Linked DNA regions of Macaca fascicularis. The protein of the gene in region 4 interacts with the protein of the main gene of each other region in a biochemical or structural test. Links are inferred from orthologs where the notes say so. Each region holds a gene or a part of one and is shown on either strand. Other genes may lie near its edges.

What was found.
Region 1: the proteins of RET (region 4) and TLN1 interact in a surface display test, tested with the Homo sapiens proteins (2 studies listed by BioGRID and IntAct, with this or other methods). The link is inferred for Macaca fascicularis from reciprocal best matches to the Homo sapiens genes RET and TLN1.
Region 2: the proteins of RET (region 4) and GRB10 form a complex in vitro, tested with the Homo sapiens proteins (2 studies listed by BioGRID). The link is inferred for Macaca fascicularis from reciprocal best matches to the Homo sapiens genes RET and GRB10.
Region 3: the proteins of RET (region 4) and GRB2 form a complex in vitro, tested with the Homo sapiens proteins (3 studies listed by BioGRID). The link is inferred for Macaca fascicularis from reciprocal best matches to the Homo sapiens genes RET and GRB2.
Region 5: the proteins of RET (region 4) and LRRK1 form a complex in vitro, tested with the Homo sapiens proteins (2 studies listed by BioGRID and IntAct, with this or other methods). The link is inferred for Macaca fascicularis from reciprocal best matches to the Homo sapiens genes RET and LRRK1.

The regions. Positions count from the first base shown.
Region 1 is NC_088389.1:63,691,967-63,696,509, reverse strand, and holds part of TLN1 (talin-1), read right to left. Parts: intron 4,041-4,543; coding exon 3,897-4,040; intron 3,449-3,896; coding exon 3,287-3,448; intron 3,045-3,286; coding exon 2,904-3,044; intron 2,810-2,903; coding exon 2,628-2,809; intron 2,457-2,627; coding exon 2,324-2,456; intron 2,107-2,323; coding exon 2,005-2,106; intron 1,922-2,004; coding exon 1,751-1,921; intron 1,667-1,750; coding exon 1,517-1,666; intron 1,407-1,516; coding exon 1,305-1,406; intron 1,226-1,304; coding exon 1,106-1,225; intron 372-1,105; coding exon 225-371; intron 54-224; coding exon 1-53. UniProt on the Homo sapiens protein: High molecular weight cytoskeletal protein concentrated at regions of cell-matrix and cell-cell contacts. Involved in connections of major cytoskeletal structures to the plasma membrane.
Region 2 is NC_088377.1:79,813,410-79,817,952, reverse strand, and holds part of GRB10 (growth factor receptor-bound protein 10), read right to left. Parts: intron 3,890-4,543; coding exon 3,774-3,889; intron 2,777-3,773; coding exon 2,708-2,776; intron 999-2,707; coding exon 861-998; intron 1-860.
Region 3 is NC_088390.1:81,722,156-81,726,698, forward strand, and holds part of GRB2 (growth factor receptor-bound protein 2), read right to left. Parts: intron 3,310-4,543; coding exon 3,141-3,309; intron 2,038-3,140; coding exon 1,852-2,037; 3' UTR 1-1,851. UniProt on the Homo sapiens protein: Non-enzymatic adapter protein that plays a pivotal role in precisely regulated signaling cascades from cell surface receptors to cellular responses, including signaling transduction and gene expression.
Region 4 is NC_088383.1:52,388,113-52,392,655, reverse strand, and holds part of RET (proto-oncogene tyrosine-protein kinase receptor Ret), read right to left. Parts: intron 4,183-4,543; coding exon 4,112-4,182; intron 2,513-4,111; coding exon 2,375-2,512; intron 1,312-2,374; coding exon 1,212-1,311; intron 1-1,211. UniProt on the Homo sapiens protein: Receptor tyrosine-protein kinase involved in numerous cellular mechanisms including cell proliferation, neuronal navigation, cell migration, and cell differentiation in response to glia cell line-derived growth family factors (GDNF, NRTN, ARTN, PSPN and GDF15).
Region 5 is NC_088381.1:85,976,007-85,980,019, reverse strand, and holds the start of LRRK1 (leucine-rich repeat serine/threonine-protein kinase 1), read right to left. Parts: upstream 2,801-4,013; 5' UTR 2,613-2,800; intron 1,996-2,612; exon of another isoform or gene 1,587-1,995; intron 1-1,586.

The DNA.
Region 1 (4,543 bases), on a different chromosome or scaffold from region 4:
CAGGCCTGGGTGCCACGATTCCCAGCCTGGAGCGCAGCTAGGACGTGAGAGACCTGGGGTAGGGAAAGTCACGTGGTGACTGTGGAAGGTGCCATGTGAAATGGAAAGGTTGCCCATGCCTGGGAGAAGTGACAAGAGGAGAGGGCTGAGAGGGCTGGAGGAGGACGGCAAAGGCTACAGAGTTTGGAGGCAGTCCCACCATCTGCAGGGATGAGCATTGTCACCTTCTCAGAAACTCTCCGGGCACATTCTATGAGCTCCTTCTTGGTGTAGGCATCACTGGGGCTGCACTGCAGGGCGCCTGCCTTGGTGACCAGAGCGGCACAGCCATGGCCCAGCTCCTGTACCCGGTGTTTGATATGGGAACCTATCTGTGAGCCGAGGGAAAGAGAGAGAGATTTTACAAGGGGCACTCAGGGTACCACTGTGCTTGGAAAAGTCACTAAGGACATAGAAAAAACATGCATCGTAGATTAAAGCAGCAGAGAGAGAAAGTTCCCAGCACAAGGACGTTTCTGGTTTCATGTCCTTTAGACAGGAGGTAACCTCCTACACATGGAAAATAGTAGCATGCAGGCACTAAGTGGTGAGGATTGTGTTAAGCACAGTGGGGAGGAGGGGAGGAGCACTTTATGCTTGAGTGTTAGAATCAGAGGGCCATGGATTACCATGTGGCCTGTATGGGGTTATGGAGGGTTTTGAGGATGGGGATTACATGTGTCCTACTAAGATCCAATTACTTGGTTTCTTGGAAAGCTAGAGGCTTAGGTAAGGAAGAGCTTCATGGCCTTGCAGCAAGAAAGAACAAGAACATGGACTGGCAGCACAGCACAGAAGCAGCCGTAGGCCCAGATGAGGGTCAGCAGAAGCCAAAGAGGCAGGTCCAGGAAGGCTCCAGATTCTGAGCTGTCTCCTTTGTACCCGTGACTGAAGAAGGCTTTGATCCTCTGTCCCTACCCAGAGCCTCACTAGTGTTCAGCAGAGTGGCCCTGAGGTTGTTCCCCTTTCTATGAAAGACCAGAGAGGGTGGGGGTGGGACAGCCCTAGACGCTGACACATCAGGAACAAGGGGCAGGGGGCAGGGCAGAGCTGCCTCCACGTTTACCTCTTCATTTTCAGCAGCCACCGCTGCAGGCTTGGCCTCCGAGGCCAGACGGCCATAGTCACTGGTCAGCTGGTTAGCAAGAGGGCCCAGCTCCTCTGGGCTGCTGTTTGACTTGGTAACCTGGTGATAATGGAAGGAGTGAAGTTATATCCAAAGTCAGCTCTCCGAGGGCAGTCCTCTGGCACTCGCCCAAACTCACCATCTCCTGAACGGTCACTGCAATGGCCTTGGCTGTCCGCACCATAGTTGTTTGGTAATCCACGAAGGAACCTTCTGGTTCACCCATTGGTCCTTCATCTAGCTGAAGGGGGAGGACAGGGACAGGGAAAGACTGTTAAGGTCTCTGCCACTGTGCTTGGAGGCTCTGGCCCAGGGTAGCCTCAGTGTCTACAGGCACCCCAAGACTCTAACCTGGTTGATGGCCTGGGTGATGGAGTCCACCATGCCACCCACGACCCCGGCAGCACTGGCTGCCTCGTTGAGAGTTGTTGTCAGGTCCTCTACGGCCTCTGTCATCATCTGCACAGCCTCCTCCAGGGCTTCCTGGGTGTGAGCTGCTTGCTGTGGGGAGAGAAGAAGAGCTCTGTTGTTCCTGTTTCTCCAGCCTCTTGCTAGTAACAGCTCCTCCCTCCCAACCCTCAATACCTTTGGGTTACCACCAGCCTCCTTGGCAGTGTATAGCAACTGCAGGGCAGATTCTGCCAATGTTTTAGTCTGGTCCAGGAGCGCCATCTGCTGCGGGTGGCTCAGGGTCTTGGAGGCAGCACCCACTGCAGCCAGGGTGAGCGGCTCAAAGTACTGGGCCATCTGGGACACCTGAGGCAAGGGGTTGGACTAGGGGTCAGGTCCCCTCTTTCTCACCCTACTCCCTGGGATTTCCCATGAGTCTCCATAGGTACCTTGTGTCCCAGCTGGGAGGCTTCAGCCCGGGCAGCATTGGCCAGTGGCTCAATGAGATGGGAGATCTCTTGTACTGCAGTGAGCATCTGAGTGTGCAAGGCCTGGGGAGGAAGTGGACTTTAGCCCTGATCGTGACCTGCAATAGGACCCTCTGGCTACACAGGACTGCTCTTCCTTTCATACTGAATACCCTAACCCTCCTTGGCACATCCTAGCCCTTTGATGTCCCTAAGAAGCCACTCCATGATCCCCCAGCTTCTTTGAGTATGACATTTCTCTTCCTAGACACATCTTTCCAGATAACCCTCTCCCCCTCACCTCTTGAGAGATTCCCTCACGGGGAGCAAGCTGCTGGCTGACTGCAGCGAGGGAAGCCTGGTCTAGGTCCCGTAGACAACTGTTCAGACCTGCAATGGCCGCTTCACACTCCAGCTGCCCTGGAGCCTTGTCCCTGCAGACACATCAGGGGCTCCAACACCAAGAACATCCCCTAGTGCAAGGCCAGCCTATCCTTCCCCTATATCCTCCCAACACCATCCCATCTAATTGCACTTAAGTGCCCATCCTCCATTCTGCCACAATGTGTGCCCCCCAGCCACACTGGTTCTCCACCCCTCAGTACCTCATGCTTGTAATTAGCTTCTTGATGGAGTCTGAGACAGTACGGGAGTGGCCGGCCAGCACTGACCAGCTCGGGGGGTCCCGGGGATTGACTGCGAGGGCCCGGGCTGTCTGGATGAGTCCCCCAGCACTCTCTAACATTGTCTTGGCAGATATCACAATGGGCTCCATGGCAGCCCGACCCTGGGGAGAGGGGAGGCAGGAAGGTAAGTCTCAGGATTCCCTGGAAGATGAGGTGATAAGCTGGCCTGTCAGGTCCCCCTTCACATCGCCTCACCTCAGGGCTGATCTGGGCAGGAATGCTGGAGAACTCAGGGTTGGACGCAAAGGCACTCAGATTGTCCACAGCCTCCAGCAGAGGGGCTGTTGCTGCTCGGCACTGGGCACGGTTCTCCTCTGTGAAGGCCCCATCTAGCGCCTAGAAGTGACAGAGAGGCTCTCAGGACTTGGGATGCAGGCATAGGGGGTATAGGAAGTGAAGTCCAGGTCTCCTTCCCAGGACTTAAAGGATTTGGGGAGAGGCTAGGGGGTCAGTCTGGATAGAAAGAGTTTGGGCTCAGGCAGAAGGGATTTGGTAGAAGGCCTCAGAGAATAACTGGGGGACTCGGGAGAGAAGATCGGACAGGTCAGGGAGAGGCTGGGAATTCAAGCACTGGGAACCTTGATGGTCTTGACAAGATTAGCTGTGCTGTTGGCCACCTCCTTGGCTGACTGTACAAACTGGCGCTTGGCAGTAGGATTGGCGGTACGGGCAGAAGCCAGGCGACAGCTGTTACACAGTGCAGAGGTGTGTTTGGCCACAATGGTGGCTGCGGAGAGCACCTGAGGAGACACGTGGAAGAGCCACAATGAGGGCAGGAAGGAGGTGTACATACCCAAGGAGGAGCCATTTTAGGGTCAGAGGATGGAGAGCAATACCCTGGGGAGTCAAAACAGGAAAAACAGAGTCACCTGAAAAGTCAAGATCTAGGAGACAGAGACACCCAAAGATGAACTGGGCATGGGAGAGGAAAGACATACTAACGGAGAAGCCATAAGAGGGCTGGTGGGAGAGTAAGCTCGAACATCTACAGAGAAGTTGTGAATTTAGCAGTAACTGAAAAATGATGAGACCCATGGCAGAAAAAGATAGTTACTCAAAGAGAAGCCTTGTGTGCAAGGTCAGAGATGGGTCCCTGCCTTCTTTCCCACATGCCTCACCTCCCTCTACTCCACGGGGTTGGTCTGCCCTTTCCCAGACTTGCCTGTGGTCCCTATTCCCTTGAGTTACCTGGGCCTGGGTACAGCCAGGCTCTCCCAAACTGTGGCAGGCCATCTGAATTGCCTGGTTTGCACGGGCAAACTGTGTGGGCTCCACCAGCCCTTGCTGTCCAGCTTGACTATTGGGGTCAGAGACACCAACCAGATATGCAGCCTAGGAAGAGAAAAGGGGGTTGGGGTGAGGAATAAAGATTGCAGGTGGGAAATGAATAGTGATAGCAGGGACAAAAGAGAGCAGAGGTAAGTTTAGAGAACAGGGCTTATTTTTCAGAGTTCTCCATGAGTGGAGATACATTAGCAAACTATGGTTATACTGTAAAGAAGAAAAAAAATACTCTCCTGTTTCATTAAGTATATTCAAGCATTTCAGAAGATTAAAAAAGTTAATCAAAAGGAAAACTATATAACAAGGGTTTTTATCAAATCTCTATTTAGATATGTTTGTGTATGCTGGGTCTTTGAGTAAAAAGTATGGCTTACTTTAAGTAGCAGTAAAAAGTTTAAGAGTGAAATACAAATATACACCTTCGTGCACACAAGCAAAGCCTCTTTTAAAGACAGTTCAAAACTGATGAAGATTATTAGGCTAATTCACATTTACAGCACCTCCATGCAGCAGGTATTTTTGGAAAGGGAAGGGAGGGATTAAAAAGCCGT
Region 2 (4,543 bases), on a different chromosome or scaffold from region 4:
GGAAATAATCTCCCGACTTCAGCACACACGAGGACTCTGAGCAGGCCACACAGCACAGCTGAGAGGTCAGGACGCTACCATGCCCTGTGTCAGACCAAAGCCCCTCTCTGCAGATGACCCCCCTTCTCTCTGGCCCATGCGTCAGCAGCCGCTGACTTCCCAGAGTTGGCCTGATGCTCAACACCTGTGCCAGGGTCCCGCCAGCTCCCTTTCCCCTTTGCTGGCCAGAGTAAAAGAGACCGTAGCCCTCAGATGGTAAGTGCTCAGCCACGTTGAATGGACATGGCTCCTGCCACAGGGTGTATGTGGACAGCACGAGAAGAGAGCAGGCAAGAGTGTACATGGGAGCGAAGGAGCCTCCAGCCTAAGCCCTCAGTGCTACCAGCTGTCTTTTGAGGGCCTGCAGCTGTTTTCCATCTCCCACCTTCTTCTCACTACGGATACATGCAAACCTGAAATTTATTTCATAAAATATCTGATACATAAAGTTACACTGGCATTAGGGTGGCAATCATCTATCAAACATCTTTACAGCTAGCTTAAATCCCAACTTATGGGAACTAGGCCAGTCTCTGAAGTGATAGGGCAGCCAGGGAGGTCTGCTACCAACCCACAGTGGGGGTGGGGCTGGGCAGGTGGGGTTCTTAGGTATGTATTATTTATTACCTAGTTTCTGAGGGAGACCAGGAAACCTGTGACTCCAAGTTTAGCTGTTGCACAATTAGCTTATTAAGAAGTTGTCCTGAGCCTGGAGGAGTCTAAGGTGCATTTAAAAATGAAGCCTAGGTTTACTCTGAGGACTCCCGGGGGCAGTGACGGGGGCAGAATCAGGGCTGGTGGTGGCAGGTTTTAAAGCTCACCTTTGAAGTTCCCTTGGTGGAGCAATAAAGGCCAGATCTCCGCAAACACACATACAGCTTTTTCCATGATTTCTTTCCCAGCTCTTTCACATGCAAAAACCCTTGAATTTCAGGACAGCTACTGGAGTTCAGAAAATTCTGTTGAAGAACAAATTTTAAAAATTACATAATGCTAATCTAAAATAATTAAAGCAGACATGTTATTAGCATAACTGACATTTTCTGAATTATTAAAAGACTCCTTTTTTTGATCAAACTGAGCGTGTTCTCCTTTCCAAAGTCTTAAAATCCCATCTCAATTGGTGCTGCATAGAACATAATTCGTATTTAAACACATGCAAGCAAATGGACCTTTCTAACACTGGTGATAACACAAGTCACGAATTTCCCTGTAAGAGAGTGCACTGAAGGATCCAGTCTGATATCAGACTGAGGGCAAGAGCAAGTGCCATGACTGAGTGAGTGGGGCTCTGGGGACTGAGAGTGAGCATGTAGTGGCCACTTTTACCCAGGCACCCCTCCAGTCAAGGGTCACATAAAAGGTGTCATTTGTCTGCAAGTGATGAACCCAGGTGCAGGACATCCTGGTGATGTCCCCCTGTTCCACTTAACTTTTCCCACAGGCAGCCTTAAGAATAAAGCCTTTATCAAAACAAAACAAAACAAAACAAGAAACTATGCTTTTCATCAAAGGGAAGACAGGCCGAGGGCCAGGTCACGGAGCAAAGTTGGGGAGGTGATGTTGGCAGGTCTTGCTACTAGACTGGGAGGGGACAAAGCTCTTTTCCCCCAGGTGGGAAAGGCACGTCGGACAGAGCCCTAGTGCACCTGGGTCAGTCCTTCCTGAGTCTCAAGAGACCACAGCATATCTTCACAAAGCACATGAGTCCTCCCAAAGTCAAGGCAAGTTAAAACAGAATGTGCCATTTCACTGTTCACGGTGTACAGGTGGTACCTTAGCACTGACACCTCTCACCAGAACAGACACATGCTATGGTCAGAAGGGCTTCTGAAGACACCACCGGAACAGAGCTCTGAAGCTCTTATCTTTTAGATGCTGAAACAAATTTGGTGATAACAACATAGCAAAAGAAGGGCTTATGAGCAGAATTCTGTAGGAACTATATTTTAGTAGTTTCTGTTACATGTAATATGTCACTTGGATATTGTTGGTGGCCTTAGGAAATGATTCATTCTTTCACTTTTGACATGTACACAGGCATATTTTTAGGGTGTAGCTGTAACATTCCCATTCCCCGCTCCCAGCTTCCCTGGAGGAGCGTGTGTGACAGCTGAGCACAGAGGCCCTGGTGGCTCCCTCCACTGGAAGAGGAGGTGGGGAGAGACCAGATTTTCTCAGAACAGACTTTAGGACAATTAAAGCAGGTTTCTTTATTTGTAATGTATGGCAAGTTACTTGTAAAAGTCTGTCGTGGTAACCCAATCATCTTTTACTATAGACTCAGCGCTTCTGCAGAGATTTCCAAGCAGCTGGGCGGTGGCCTGACCTGGGACCCCTGCTCAGAAAGGAGCTGGGGAGCCCTGAAACTGGGGTTTCTCCATGCACCCCCCGGGCCACACTCAGCAGTGGCATCACTGGACTCTTCTAAGTCAGAGCAAGGGCATTCTGTGTGTAAGTGCCTGTTTGGCTCAGCAGGAATCCAGCTACACACAGATTTTCCAAGTAAACTTTTTAATTTCTGGTTACTCTAAACCCCCTTAAGGGCCAAAGTTATAAATGATGAAAGATGCAATCTCTTCAGGTTTTTTACAATGTTGCCATTCAGTTCCAAGAGGATTTCTATTCAGAAAGTCTATTTCAGCAGAGGTCTATTTTGGCCCAGTACCTGCAAAAGCTGGCTTTGACTGCCATTTGACTGCTGGCACCAAGTAACCATCTGTTCTGGGAAGAAATTCTAAGAAAATGGGAAAAAACAAATACGTGAAAGGTTAGTTTCAAAGTGAGGGAAGGTATGTCATATAGATAAGTAAATTTTAAAACTATTCCTACCAATATAATTATGTACACCTGTATTTAAAATGGCAGTCCTTTTTATTCTCCTATCACACAGAAGAAATAGCTCCTTCAAAAGGTTGTATTTCATTTCCTGAAATGTTGGGTACGAGTATGGAATACCACCTATGTTTACTAAGGGATGCATGTCTCACAGCATACTCCATGGCAAAGAGTGAGATAAAGAATTCCTGAAACTAAAAGGTAAGCCCAGTCACGAGAAAAGCCTTTTCTGTTGCATTCCCCAAAAACAGTCTTCAAATTTCTCACTCTGGAATAAAAAAGCAGCTAAATTATCAGAGTCAGAAATGACCCTGGGTCTTCTCCCCAGCTGACACAGCTCTGCCCCATGACTCAGGACGACAGTAAGTACCCCAGGAGCTAGGAGGTGCCCTCCCTATCCCGGCCTCTCACAGGACAAGTGCCTTCTTTCCCAAAGAAAGAAAGGGGAAGAGAGATCAAGGTGACCAGCTCAAGACACCACCAATCGCACTGATTTCTCTAGTCATTCTTCCACGTATGATCACAAAATGTGTTTGCTGTGTGCAGAGAATAATGAGTTTTTCTTCTGCTAAGTGTTTGATCAGTTTAACTGAGAACTTTCAAAATAACAGAAAACGCCCAGTCTCCCCCAGCTCCTGTCTTAGAGACTAACCCCCTTTACACTGTGTCTATTTGAAGAAGGAGACCTCTATCTTCAGCCAGTCCCAGGCACATTTAGTGAAGCACGAGACTGGGTTTCAAGCAAGGATTGCTTCATTAAACTGCAACTCTGACTCTCAAACCGATATGCTACGTCGTGCCTCTCAGTCACTTTCTAATCTGATACTATGAAACCCAAGTATAAACTTCCAGATGTCAAGAGTCCCAAACCCCAAACCTGAAGACGTAAGACTCACCATGGGATTTTTAAAGAACTCGTATTTTGCATAATTCTTCCGGAATAGAAATTTACTCTCACCGGCCATGGTACTCTCCACTTGGACCACCAGCTCGTGGTCTTCCAAGCACCTCTCTGCAGGGGCAAAGTATCACATGTGAGATGCAACAGGTGGGAAATTCATGGTAGCTTTACAACCAAATGCAAGATTTGTTCAACTTTCTATTCTTTAAACATTATGAATAGAGACGAGGTCAGGAAGGAAACTAAATTTAAATCTCTCTTTTATGTACTACCAAATTCATAAGAGGTCTTAAGATACACAGCATGAGGAATTCAGGTCAATACTTATTTTTATATACTTCTTTTGAATTTGGCATCAACCAGATGTTAAGGAATGAGTCCATAATACTCTCAGCAAATGATTTTGCCCTTAAATTAATAAATTTCAATTCTTGTAAATAAAAGACTACAACAAGAAACAAAGGAGAAAGAACTTGAAAGGGGAGGATGACCAAAGAGGGCCCAGAGATGGAAGCTTTTTTTTTTTTTTTTTTGAGACAGAGTCTCGCTCTGTCGCCCAGGCTGGAGCGCAGTGGCGCAATCTCAGCTCACTGCGAGCTCTGCCTCCCGGGTTCACGCCATTCTCCTGCCTCAGCCTCCTGAGTAGTTGGGACTACAGGCGCCTGCCACCACGCCTGGCCAATTTTTCTGTATTTTCAGTAGAGACGGGGTTTCACCATGCTAGCCACGACAGTCTCAATCTCCTGACCTCGTGATCTGCCCGCC
Region 3 (4,543 bases), on a different chromosome or scaffold from region 4:
GGAGTGGGTGGAGAAAAAGATTACAGGCACATCACTACAGGGGACCAGAAGTGGAGAGAAGACAGAGATCTCTGCCGAGGCCTTGGTCTTTCTTTCCAATCTTGCCTTCCCCAACTCTCCCTGCTTCCTGGGACCATCTGTAGGGGTGGGGAGCAGCAGTCAACACAGCCCACTGGCAAGGGAGGCACAAGCAGCACTCTGGCTTCCCAATGCTGCCCTCACGCTCATCTGGACAGGTCAGAGGACACAGGATGAAAGCCACAGCCCAATCTAAGAGCAAGACAGGTGAGAAGTGAGTACTCTCATTGTGCACTCCAGCATAGGAATAAGGTGAAACCTGCTACAACTGGAGGCTGCGTTCCCATGACTTCCTCCTTCGCTCTCCTTGTCTGGGGCTTGCTGGTTCCAGGGGTGCATATAGTGATGGGGTGGGGGCCACAACCCCTGAGACAGTGAGGACAGGCTTCCAACCCCCTGTAAGCCAGATCCAGTGGGATGTGGGAGAGCTGGGTGGTCACCTTCCCTCTTGCCCCGGTGGCCCGTCACACTCACACTGCAACCTGGACAAGCAGTTCCCTGAACCCCCAAGGGGCTCACACACCTTAAAGCTGGAGCTTAAAGCCTCCTGGCTTAGTACAAGCAGGAGAATGCTTCACCTTGTACTCCTGCTTGTCTCCCTTGCTCTACCCTGCCCCAAGGGAAAAATATTTACACAGAGTAGGAGACAAATTGGCTGAAAAGCTCTGGACTGTCTTTAACTTATTTTAAAACAAAACAAATTAAAAACAAAAACAAAAACAAAAAACACCACCACTCAGAAGCAACCCTCGAAATAAGGAAAAAGGCACTATGAAAAAACAACATGCTCGATAATCCCACTGGAAGGGCCAACAAAGTGGAAAGAGACAGGCTGTTGGGAGGGCTTTTTTTTTTTTTTTTTGAGATGGAGCCTCGCTCTGTCACCCAGGCTGGAGTACAATGGCATGGTCTCGGCTCACTGCAACCTCCACCTCCCAGGTTCAAGTGATTCTCCTGCCTCAGGCTCCCGAGTAGCTGGGATTACAGGCGCATGCCACCACACCCAGCTAATTTTTGTATTTTTAGTACAGACAGGGTTTTGCCATGTTGGCTAGGTTGGTCTCGAACTCCTGACTTTGTGATCCACCCACCTTGGCCTCCCAAAGTGCTGGGATTACAGGCGTGAGCCACCACGCTGCCCGGCCCAGGCAGGCTTTCTAGGGAAGCCATGGAGGCAGCGACATGCTTTCCTTCTACCCCACTCTACTGCCAACTTGGACAAAATACACTGGGGGTCTGGGCTGGAAGGCAGATTCCTACAAGCCCCCTCCTCTGGAGGAAGTTAAACAGCAAAGGTGTCGAGCTGCCCTGCCCGCTCCTTTTTGTGTGTATATACGAAGAACACAGAAAGAGTGGTTCTTCTTTCAGTCATTCCAACTAAAACAGACATTTTGCATAGAGAGAATACCAGCCCACTTGGTTTCTTGTCTTTTATTATTGGCGTCAGCTAGGACTATACGTGGCCTTAAACGTCATGCACTGATGGACAGAAGAGAAAAAAGGATGAAAAAAAGGGCAAAGGAGGGGAAAGAGGAGCAGCAGTGAAAATTTGTAATAAAAACTCTTCTTAATTTATAGGTAAGTTTTGGCATTTTTAAATCCAACACCCCCTCCCACCCCCTAAAGTTCCAACCAAAGTGAGAGGGTCACAGGGTGACCCGGCCAGGTGTTCTGCACTCCCTCACAGGCTGCTGTTAGTGGCAGCTTGTGGGTTTAATTCTTTTGTATGTGTTTTACATTTTTCACTTTCTTTAAATAATTGCTTCTTGATTCTTAGACGTTCCGGTTCACGGGGGTGACGTAATTGCGGGGAAACATGCCGGTCTGCCCGTGGCAAGCTCCTTTCCACCAGTTGGGGTCTGAGTTATCCATGACATGGATAAAATCTCCCCGGCGGAAGCCCAGCTCTCCATCCTCCTGAGGATCAAAGTCAAAGAGGGCCTGGACGTATGTCGGCTGCTGCAAAACAGGAGCAGGAAAAACCCATATTGCATTCCTGGTCTGTGGCCGGCCACCTCCGAGGCCAGACGGGTTCCAGGGGGAAACGAATGCGTGCCAAATTCTCCATGTTTTCTAAACTCACCTCCCATCTCCCAACCCCCCATTTATTCTTACCTCTTCTAAGTTTACAGGCCAAGCGGGTTTAGTGTGATCTTTCCCAGTGCTCAGAAAATGCTAGAGTATGTCTCCCAGAGGAGGGTGGCCAACTGTGCCATATTATCAAGTAGAGGGCAGGCAGTGCTTGGAGGGGAAAGTTCTTCAGAAACAGCCGTCTGTGTTTAGGCTGTGGGCCCAGAATCTGCAAATCCCTTCTACCACACCCTTAAGATATTAGAGCCTAAAATTCTGGAGCTCGCATAACATAAGGGACTCTAACTGTAACTTATGACCAGGGCTCGAGGGACAGGAACGGTGCCGACCTCACTCCCTCACAAGCATAGTTTTCCTCATAATTTGCCTCCAGGGACAGGATCTTTGGGTGGGTGTGTTAAAGACCATCTCCCTAGAGAGACTGGCAAGCTGGCTACACACTGCCTCTGGAAAAGCAAAAATCCTATATTTAAAACAACAAATCTTTCTTTTTCTTTTTCTTTTTTTTTTTGAGATGGAGTCTCCCTCTGTCACCCAGGTTGGAGTGCGGTGGTACAATCTCAGCTCACTGTGACCTCCACCTCCTGGGTTCAAGCGATTTTTCCATCTCAGCTTCCCAAGCGCAGGTGGGCGCCACCACATCTGGCTAATTTCTGTATTTTTAGTAGAGACAGGGTTTCACCATGTTGGCCAGGCTGGTCTCAAGCTCCTGACCTCAAGTGATCTGCCTGCCTCAGCCTCCCAAAGTGCTGGGATTACTGGCATGAGCTACTACGCTGGGCCAGAAACAAGAAATTTTTAGTGTGAATGGAAGGTAACGTGTTCAGTAACGAGCACAGAAGCCCCAGTGGCAATCCCTGAAGGGCGCCTGCATGTTGATTGAGGGTCACCTCCCCCTTCCCACAGGAATGCACACTGAGGAGCTATTCTTAATTTCTAAAATGATCCCATCTCACCCTGATGAGGCTTACCTGTGGCACCTGTTCTATGTCCCGCAGGAATATCTGCTGGTTTCTGGAGACAGATGTAGATCTGTGATAATCCACCAGCTCATTCAAAGAATTGAACTTCACCACCCAGAGGAAGTACTTGCCGGCTCCGTCTCGGAGCACCTTGAAGTGCTGCACATCGTTTCCAAACCTGGGAGGGACAGAGAGCACATGGACCGGCTAAAGGCTCTAACCTGGCAAATCGAAGGCTATCTGCCCATATAAGCGATATCCTGAGAGAACCACTGTCCCGGCAGCACTCCTCAGGGACTGCAGAGTAACAAGCTTCCTCACTGCGTGTCCCTGGAACAGACCCCTCCCTATGACTGATGGGCACCAGGACAACATGAAGAAACCAAACAGGGACAGGCCATCAGTCACTCTCATTCTGAAGATGTTTGTAAGATAAAGAGTCCAGGCTGGGCACGGTGGCTCACACCTGTAATCCCAACACTTTGGAGGCCAAGGCGGGCAGATCACTTGAGGTTGGGATTTCGAGACCAGCCTGATCAACATGGAGAAACCCCATCTCTACTAAAAATACAAAAGTAGCTGGGCGTGGTGGTGCATGCCTGTAATCCCGGCTACTCGGGACACCAAGGCAGGAGAATCACTTGAACCCAGGAGGCGGAGGTTGCAGTGAGCTGAGATTGCGCCACTGCACTCCAGCCTGGGTAACAAGAGTGAAACTCTGTCTCAAAAAAAAAGAAAAAAACAGTCCATGTGCCCTGAACCCTAACAAATAAAACAGCCTTACTTAAGACAAAGAAGTGTGACTTAACTTCCTTTGAATAAAAAAATAATTAAAATGTTATATGCAGGAAGAAGGTGAGGAGGGCTGGAAATACTTTCAACAATTCTCTCGTAACTGCGAATAGTTCCAAGTCATGTTTTCCATTCAGGAATTTTAGATCCACTCACGGGGAAAAGGTCTCTGAATGAAAGGACACACTGGCACAATAAAAGAGGCCCAGGCTTCGAAACCCAAAAGCTTCTCCATCACCAGATCACACCCTTTTACACTGGCTAGCAAAACCAGCAACAGTGTGGCTGGCTGGTACTAGCTCACAGGGTCTGTCACAGGATATTTGGCTAGAACACCAGCCCAGCGAGGGCGCTTCTGCCTGTCCTGTTCACCTGGCCAGGCGCTCAAAAAGGCATTCTCGGCCAGGCGCGGTGGCTCACGCCTGTAATCCCAGCACTTTGGGAGGCCGAGATGGGCGGATCACAAGGTCAGGAGATTGAGACCATCTTGGCTAACACGGTGAAACCCCATCTCTACTAAAAATACAAAAATTTAGCCAGGTGTGGTGGCATGTGCATGTGCCTGTAGTCCCAGCTACTCAGAAGGCTGAAGCAGGAGAATCGCTTGCACCCAGGAGGCA
Region 4 (4,543 bases):
CAAACCCTTGGGCTCTGGGGGAGCCCACTGCAGCGACATGCCAGGATGCAGCCCCAGCCTGCAGGATGTTTTCCAGCTTTCCCCAAGGATCCCTGTCATCTAGAACATCACGTCAGGGCTGAGACTTCTGAAATCTGACAGTGCTGTCAGGGTGCACATGACCCTGCTACAGGCACAGGCTCCCCAGCATGAGGGGCCACTTGCATCTGCTCCTTTCAATGCCCAGCTTGAATGTGCACAGAGGGGCCCAGTGTTTTCCTGGCTGTTTCTCAGCACTGTTCTAGGAAGGCCAGAACCAGTGATCACTTCTGTTTAGAACAACCCTGCATTCTCAGGACTTGGGAGTTTTCATCCAAGCGAGACAGTGATGTGAAGTGTTCCTACGGGGTCCTAGGTCCTGCATCCTGCTATCCAAGTCTGAAGAAGTGACAATTCAGTAAATGTGCCAATGTTAAGACAAGGTCTGTGTGTAAACCCCTTGAGGACAGGGCTGTGCTGGTCTTGTTTATTTGGATTCCCAGCCTCTGAGACACAGTACGGGTCCTAGCAGCTGCCTGATGAAACTGGTTGAAAATGTGTAGAACTCACAAACTGTACTTCCAGGCACGCGGGCTGACTCTGGTCACCCCCCGATAAGCTTTGTTTTGCCTACATTCGGCTCTGGGAAATTTAAATGAATTGTTAACAATAAAAACTGGGAGACAACATAAACCTCGTAAAATTCAGAAGACCCGGTCCATTCCTGGCTCCTTTCTCTGCAGGCCACAGGTCCCCCAGCAAGGAACCTTTTGGAGGGGCCTGGCTGTTTGTCACAGTCTCCACTGCTCCTTACTCACTGCCCTCCCCCAGCTGGGCTCCCCTCTGGGCATCTGAATTTTGGGCACTTGCTTCAACTCGACTTTCTCATTTTCCATTATGGAAAACAATTTTTTTGGCTTTGGAATATTTTCCTCCCATGCCTGTCTGTAGAGAGCTCTTCCTAAATGTCAAGAATCTTGGTTTCTTCATGACTTGAAAAGAAGCCCAAGCAGCCTGGCCTGAGAAGGGTTCGGTCTGCTGTCTGCACGCAGGGGAGAGCATGACTGTCTCTCTCTGCACAATCCCACTGTGGCCTCCCACTGGGAACTCTGAGGGCTAAAACCACTGCCTGGGGTGAGGCTGGAGTCTCCCATGCCACTTTCAGCTGGTGGGAATTGGCCCCAGGCACTCACTCTGCTCTTAACCATCATCTTCTCCAGGTCTTTGCTGATGTCCGCAAACACTGGCCTTTTGTCTGGCTCCTGCTTCCAGCACTGCAGCATCAGGCGGTACCTGGTGGGAAGAGCAGACAGGCCAATGTGACCCAAGCAAGGCCAGGTCTCGGAAGGACAGCCCACCACAGTCACCTCACCCTGCCCTGCACCCTGGGCCCAGTGTGCTCTGTTTCCAACCCCAAAGCTATTTCTGCATCGCTGACATCTCTGAGCCTTGCTGGGACTGGGGCATGGCCTGTCTGCAGGATCCCAGCCCATGGGCCACTGTGCTCAGGTCTCCCAGAGCTGTGGTCCAGAATCCTATAGGCTTCCCTTCCCTCCAAGGGAGATTCATTTTTACTTCCCTTGCAAAGACACTGGTAAACAGCTCACTGGATACTATGCCTGCTCTGGCAGCTAAGTGATAAGTGCCCGTCCTTAAAACTCTCAAGAAGGATGAATTGACTGAAGGCTTTTAGGTGTGGAGACAGACAAACAAGAACCTTTGGCAATCACATGTCTGTCCTGCACTGTCCTTGCTTGCTAGGTGCCCAGGCAGACCACAGTGCTCCAACTGGCCACCAGCTGGGGGCCCAGGGAGGTGGTGCCTGGCTTCTTGGCCCAGGATGCCCCCTCCACGCCCCACTCTATGGAATGCATGGACCAAGCATCTCTGCCTCTGGGCAGCCCTTTCTCATCTGTTCTCGGCCTGGTTTCTAAGACCATCTCTCCCAAGAGTGTAAAGGCTTCAACCTCTCAGGTTGCAGCCCAGGCTGCCCCTGCCTGGCTCTGTACCTCTGCTCAGGCACCCCTTAACACGTGCCCCCTGGGCCATTTGGAATTACCAGCTCCTCCCCAAGTGTCATGCTGGGACAGCTCTCAGCCTTCGAGCTTGTATTGTACCAGTCCCTGCTCTCGCTCATTTTTATAAGAGCCCCTAGCAAGCCCACCAGCCCTCAGCAGGGTAGGACCCCCAGCATCTACGGCAACACCCAAGGATGGCTCTCTAACCTCTGCCCTGCCCACTCCCCAGCCCCCACTTCTCCTGGTTTCTCCTGGGGCTGCTCTGGATGGGGAGGGAATGCACACAGGTGTCCCCTCCCTTCCCAAGTGAGGCTGGGCCAAAGCCGGTTCCCGCTCACATCTCCTCGCTGCAGTTGTCTGGCCTCTCCATCCGGTGGCCGGTCTTCAGAAGGTTGAAGAGCCGCTCAGGAGGAATCCCAGGATAGGGGTTGCCCCCTAGGGTCACAATCTCCCACAGCAGGACACCGAAAGACCATCTGCAGAGAGCAAGAAGACCAGTGAGTGGTTCTACCTGGCCCTCACAGTGCCCTCCGGGGGGCCCAGATGTCAATCCCTACCACCAAGCACCTGCTGACCCTGTCGGCCCCAAGCACAGATGCTCACAGATGTCAGCCTGGGTCTGGTTGCTCAGATGGATGTAGTATGAAGGTGCGGAAGGGCTGCCTGCCTGCCTGGCCCCTACTCCATGAAGCTGAAGTCCCTGCCCAAGCCACTCCCATTGGAGCAGCCACACCCACAAGGGGCACATGAGGTTTGGCACTTAAAGGGGTGAGAATGCAGACCACCAGACTCAGAGTGCCTTATATAGTTCTTTCACCATTTCTATGTGCTTGGAAAATTTCGTAAAATCTTAGAAGGAAAAAAGCTATAGAAAAACATTTTAACTGTGAAGGAAAACTTGCTGTGCAATGGGAACAATATCATATCACAAAACAGCATCGCATGAGCCCATTTAGGGCAATAAAAAGCATACATGTGCACACCACAGAGCACACCAGAGGGCAGCCAGAAGTCACTGTGCGGTGTGGTCCAGTGACATTCAGTCTCTTCTTTATGCTTTTCTCTCTGCCTTTTCCAACTAGCCTACACTCAGCTTATGTAATTGGGAAGCTGTTGTCCAAATAGTTGCTCACAGCCCACAGTATTTAAGATGCACGTGTTGGCCAGGTGTGGTGGCTCACGCCTGTAATCCCAGCACTTTGGGAGGCTGAGGTGGGCGGATCATTTGAGGTCAGGATTCGAGACCAGCATGACCAACATGGTGAAACCCTGTCCCTACTAAAAAATACAAAAAAATGAGCCAGGAGAGGTGGCGCGTGCCTGTAATCCCAGCTACTCAGGAGGCTGAGGCACAGGAATCGCTTAAACTCGGGAGGTGGAGGTTGCAGTGAGCCAGTATTGTGCCACTGCACTCCAACCTGGGTGACAGAGTGAGACCCTATCCTCCCATCAAAAAAAAAAAAAAAAAAAAAAAAAAAAAAGAGATGCACATCATACCTCTGCTGACTATAGAACACTTTAGAGGCAAGAATCCTGTGTTTTGAAAGCGATCAGCTCTTGTCACTGGACCTGAATAATGAATTTTTGGCTTTCACCTTTGAGCAGTTTGGGGCACACCAATCTATAAACTCACACAAGGCCATCTTCAGGTGGAGTCCCCAAGCTCCACTTGTGGGTGGGGGCAAGTCACTGGGCACTCTGCCTGAGCCCAAAGCCCTATTCAGGACCACAGGAGGGTAACTGCTGGGCTGGGCCTGTGAGTCACCAAGGGGCCCAGAGGGAGGCGTGGGGCTGGCAAGGGCGGGGGAGGCTGGGTTACTGGCCACCTGCTCTGCTCTCATGCTCCACTGGAGCTTTCAGAACTGCAGGCTGGCCTGGCCCAGCCATTCGCCTCATGAATACATCATGAAGTCCCCTCAGTGAGGGGGTCATTGTGGAGGGCTGACACTGCAGACAGGTGCTCAGGGCCAGCGCAATTCCCTGGCCAAACTGCATGGATGGGGTGCCGTGGCCTGACTACACATATAAGGGTGTTTCTGTAACCCCCACCCCAAGACAGCAACACCCACACTTACACATCACTTTGGGTGGTGTAGATATGATCAAAAAGAGATTCAATTGCCATCCATTTAACTGGAATCCGACCCTAAAGAGGGGATGGAAGAAAGACATTTAAGTTACTCTGACGCTCTAGGAAGGAGGGGTGACGGAGAAGGCCAGGCCTTATCCCTGAGCTTTCAGCAGCCAGAGTGCTGTAGACACTCCTGGGCACAGAGCTGGCCACACACAGCTTTGAAGGGGCTGGAGCTTCAGCCTGAACCTCCTGGGGATTGCTGAGATGCTGGCGGGAGTCAGCTGCCTGCCCACAGCCACACAGGGCCAGTTTGTCACACAACACAGGCCTGCTGGTGGTGTAGAGCAGTGCTTCCCTATGCATGGGCCTGGAACTCCTCCAGCAAGATCTCTGCTAGGGTTCTGAGGGCCAATGTGTTTGGGAAACCAACATC
Region 5 (4,013 bases), on a different chromosome or scaffold from region 4:
AGAGTGTGGGTTTTAAGAGGGTGACCAGGGAAGGCTTTCTGAGGCTATGTGAAGAGTCGGGAGGCAGCAGTGCAGGGGCCCAGTGCTGGACAGTGAGCTCAGTCAGGGTGGCTGGGGGCAATGGCCTGGTGGTCTGAGATAGCAGAGGCTGGATCAGCTGGGGGTGTAAGGAGAAGGAGGTCTCCTGGATCGCATGCCAATGGCAAGGAGAAGCTACTGAAGGATTCCATACAGAGGACTGATATAGTCCTATTTACCCATTTAAACACACACACACACACACACACACACACACACACACACACACACACGCTGCTATATAGAGAATGGAGGGAGGGGGAACTGTAATCCTACAGTAAAGAGATGCTGGTACCCGGGACAAGGGGTGGGGGACATAAGAAAAAAGGGGACAGACCAGGACACATTTTAGACGTAGATCCACAGACTGAATGTTTTTGATCTGAGCATCTGAGTTGATTGTGAGGTCACTCCCTGAGACATTGACATTTGGGAGAAGGAAAGGTTTGGCTGACAGCAAAACCTCCTTTAGGAACAAATTAGGTGTGAGGTTAGTTTGTTATACTATTTTCTCTTTCAGGACATAGGCACAGATGAAGAAAATCAAATCATAAAAGACATTTAACTTAACATTTTCCAAAATTGTGCATGTTCTAGCTGTCCCTTTAATGTCTGGGCATTTTGATACCCTGCGAGTGAGTGGCAAACTCTAAAATTAGTGTACATGGTGAGAGGTTTGCTAAAAGCTATATGCCCCTGTTTCTCTACCTGTTGCAGGGGTTGTGTTTGTGGGAGAAAAATTTCGTGGCCTCAAACTGTGAAGGGGTAGGTTGAAATGGCCACAGGGGTCTTTATATTCTCCACCATCGGCTCCCGGCTGACCCCGGCCTTACTAGGCTTCCTCGCCTGCCTCCCTGCCTGCCGGGAAGGTCCTGCGTAGGTTGCAGAGACCATGGCAGACATAGCAGTTGTATCTGTACCAGCCAGAAGACACCTGGGCAAGAAGCATAACCCAGACATTGAGGAGGGTGAAGCCTCGCTGGGCCACCCCGCAACACCAGGAAGCCCTGGAGCAGTGAGAGACTCCTGGACTGTCTCTTGTCAACACCCTGGCACAGGCACAACCGCGCGCTCACTCTCCGCCCGCTCCCCGTTAAAGGACGGGGTTTTCTCCAAAGGGAGAGGAAATATATGGACGCCCTGGTGTATTTGCCTGCTTGTGTTTCTTGCCTCTGCTTCCCAGCGTTCCCGACCCTGTCCCATACGGGGTTTCGGGGTTCCCCGCTCGGGCCCGCACACCCCCCTACCACAGGTTGGCTGGGCTACGGGCGTGGCAGGAGGCAGCCGGGACGTGAGACTGGGGGTCACCCCACACGCCCTCCGCGCCCCTCGGGCTGCGGCCCCTGCGCAACGGCCACCCATGTCCGACCATGCGGCCGCCTGGAGCGCAGGCCCGCGGCAGGCAGAGGCCAGGGCTCCCCGCGGACGCGGGCGCGGGCTCCGGATTCCCGGGCCGGCCGCAGGAGGCAACCAGGTCCCTGGGGGGCGCGGAGAGGAACAGCACTTACCTGCGGCGGCGGCGGGGCCCGGGTACGGACGCTCCGGGACGCGGGGCTGGGCGGACACTGGCGGGCCGGGGCCTGGCCGTCCCACAGCCGTCTGCCCCCCGCGCCTCGGGCCGCGCGCCGGGGCCGGGCCCAGACGCACTTCCTCAATCCTGAGGCCGGCGGGCGGGCGGGGAGGGCGAGTGGCGCGAAGAGCTCGCAGAGCAAGGCCGCCGCCAGCTCTCGCCGGAATGGTTTCGAGGCGTCCCCTCGGTGGCCGCCTCAGTTTCCCTAGCCGTAAAACGCGGGCGATCGCGCTCAACCCCCGTGCCCCGGGAGACGCCGGGGTCCGCGGGCCATTCTAGTACCAGGTCTCTCCCTCAGGTTCGGGCACTCGGCTCCCTCCACGCGGGGCAAGCGCGGCGATGAGATTGGTCGGTGCTGCGCTCAGCCCCGCTTTCACTATCCCTCTGCTCTAGTGGCAGCAAAATCAGCAGATCAGCCCCTAACTTGCATGTGGCCCATACACTCCGTCCGTAAAAATTAAAAAGACAGGGAATATTCATTTGTGTACAGTTCTTTCCAGGGCAATACAGAAATATGTAGTTCTAAAGCGTTAACGATTTGCAGTTTGCACATCCTCCATCACATGGATTTTACTAATTCAATAATGGATGTATGCAAAGTATTTGCTGTTTGGTGAATCATGTTTAATTGTCGGCTTTGGGGGGAATACATAAAACATGGAATATTGGTAATTTATCGTGTTTCAACCTTTCATAAAGGTGTCATCAGGCTGCTGAGGCTAATATAGAAACGCAGACCATAAAGATCCGCGTCCACTCTGCAGGAGGGCCTCACACTGAGCTCCACGTGTCGACCCAGGGAAAAGGCCTGCTCAGGAAAAGCAGAGGGTTCCACGCCCTGCAGGACCAGCACCCTAGGCTCCTCTCCTGAAGTGTTATGACTCGCATATTCCCAGGATTTCGCGCAGATCTCCCCCACCCTCACTGACATTTCACAGAACCCGGGCAGCTACAGGGCTCTTACAGGACCTCCCGGACACCGCGGGACCGTGTTTCCTTGAGCGGCTTCTTGGGTCCCTGGTTGGCGAGGGGACCACCGAGCAGGTCTGCTCTGCTCCTGGGAGGCTGCTCCTGCCACTGGACGAGTTTCCAAAAGGGTAAGCGCAGTTCTGCAATCCTGTTCTCACCCCTGAGGGCCTCACACCAGTTTACAGGAGCCAGCAGTGTGATTGCTACAGATAAGTTCCCAACAGTTTGCAGGGCGTGGTGTCCTCAGTGCTGAGAGAGCCCCGCGACTGAGGCGCAGCTCCTCCAGGGCGCGCAGCCCCGCCACCTGGCGCCACCGCGAGGGAGCGCAGGCCCAGGGCCCGGGCAGCCGCTGGAGGGGACGCCGCCCAGTAAGGCGGGGCACCTCCGCTTCCCTTCTAAATGAGCTTGGGAATAGGCTAGGAAATGTCCCCAATGTAGAAAACAGCAGGAACATTTGACACGCGGATGACCTGTGTTGAGCCCGTTATATTCCCAGCATTTAATTCTAGCCATTAGGCATGTGTTAGCCACAACTTCTCATAGGAAGGCTATTGCAGATAAGTTAAGATTCCTTTCCACTTCTTCCTAAGGCTCGCTGACCCACGGTTCTCTAGCTTTGTTGGTAATCCCACCCGGATTCTCAGCACCCTAGGTTGGAATGACCCCTCCTGAGGTGGGTGAGGTCAGCTGGAAGCCACCTCCCTGAACTGACTTTTCTCTCTTTTTGAAGGCACAGTGGCTGAGAGCTCCTTCTGTGTTTTCTGGTTGTTTTTCTTCAGCCCAGTTCGCAGTTTCCTCTGACAGTCTTCCTTGAACAACTTCCTAAACACCCTTCATGAACCCCCTTCAAGCTCATGCCTAGGAGCAAGGAGCAAATCTTCATCCACCAGCAGAAGAAGCTAGGCCATCCCAAAGGGTCCACTTCTAGAGAGTGTGCCAACCCCCACACGCACACCAGGCACACAAATGCATGTGTGCACACGCACACTACACCCTCCAATTGTCCCCAGAATGGCTCCCTTCAGGGAGTCACATTCCGGGACACCAAATGAGGGAAAATATCCTTCTCCTATAGTTTTCTGCTCGCATTTGGATTGAGAAATGGGATGTCTCTAAATAATGTGTCTAAATTCTCTTAACATAAGGGTGTATCTTACGAGAGATCTGATCCCAGCCTCCCTTAAGTTTTTTGTTAAAGAGGTGGTGCTTTGCCACCCACATCAAAGTGATCTGGGCTTTCTACATCAAATGCACAGGTTGAGCTTCAAGAACATACCCCAGTACCACCAATGATCTTGATCCAGTGTCAGTGTCAGCTCCCAACGTGGTGATTGAGGCTTCTTGGTTAAAAGCTTTAGAAACTTGAGGTCAGTGAAACCCAAATTGATCCTTTCGC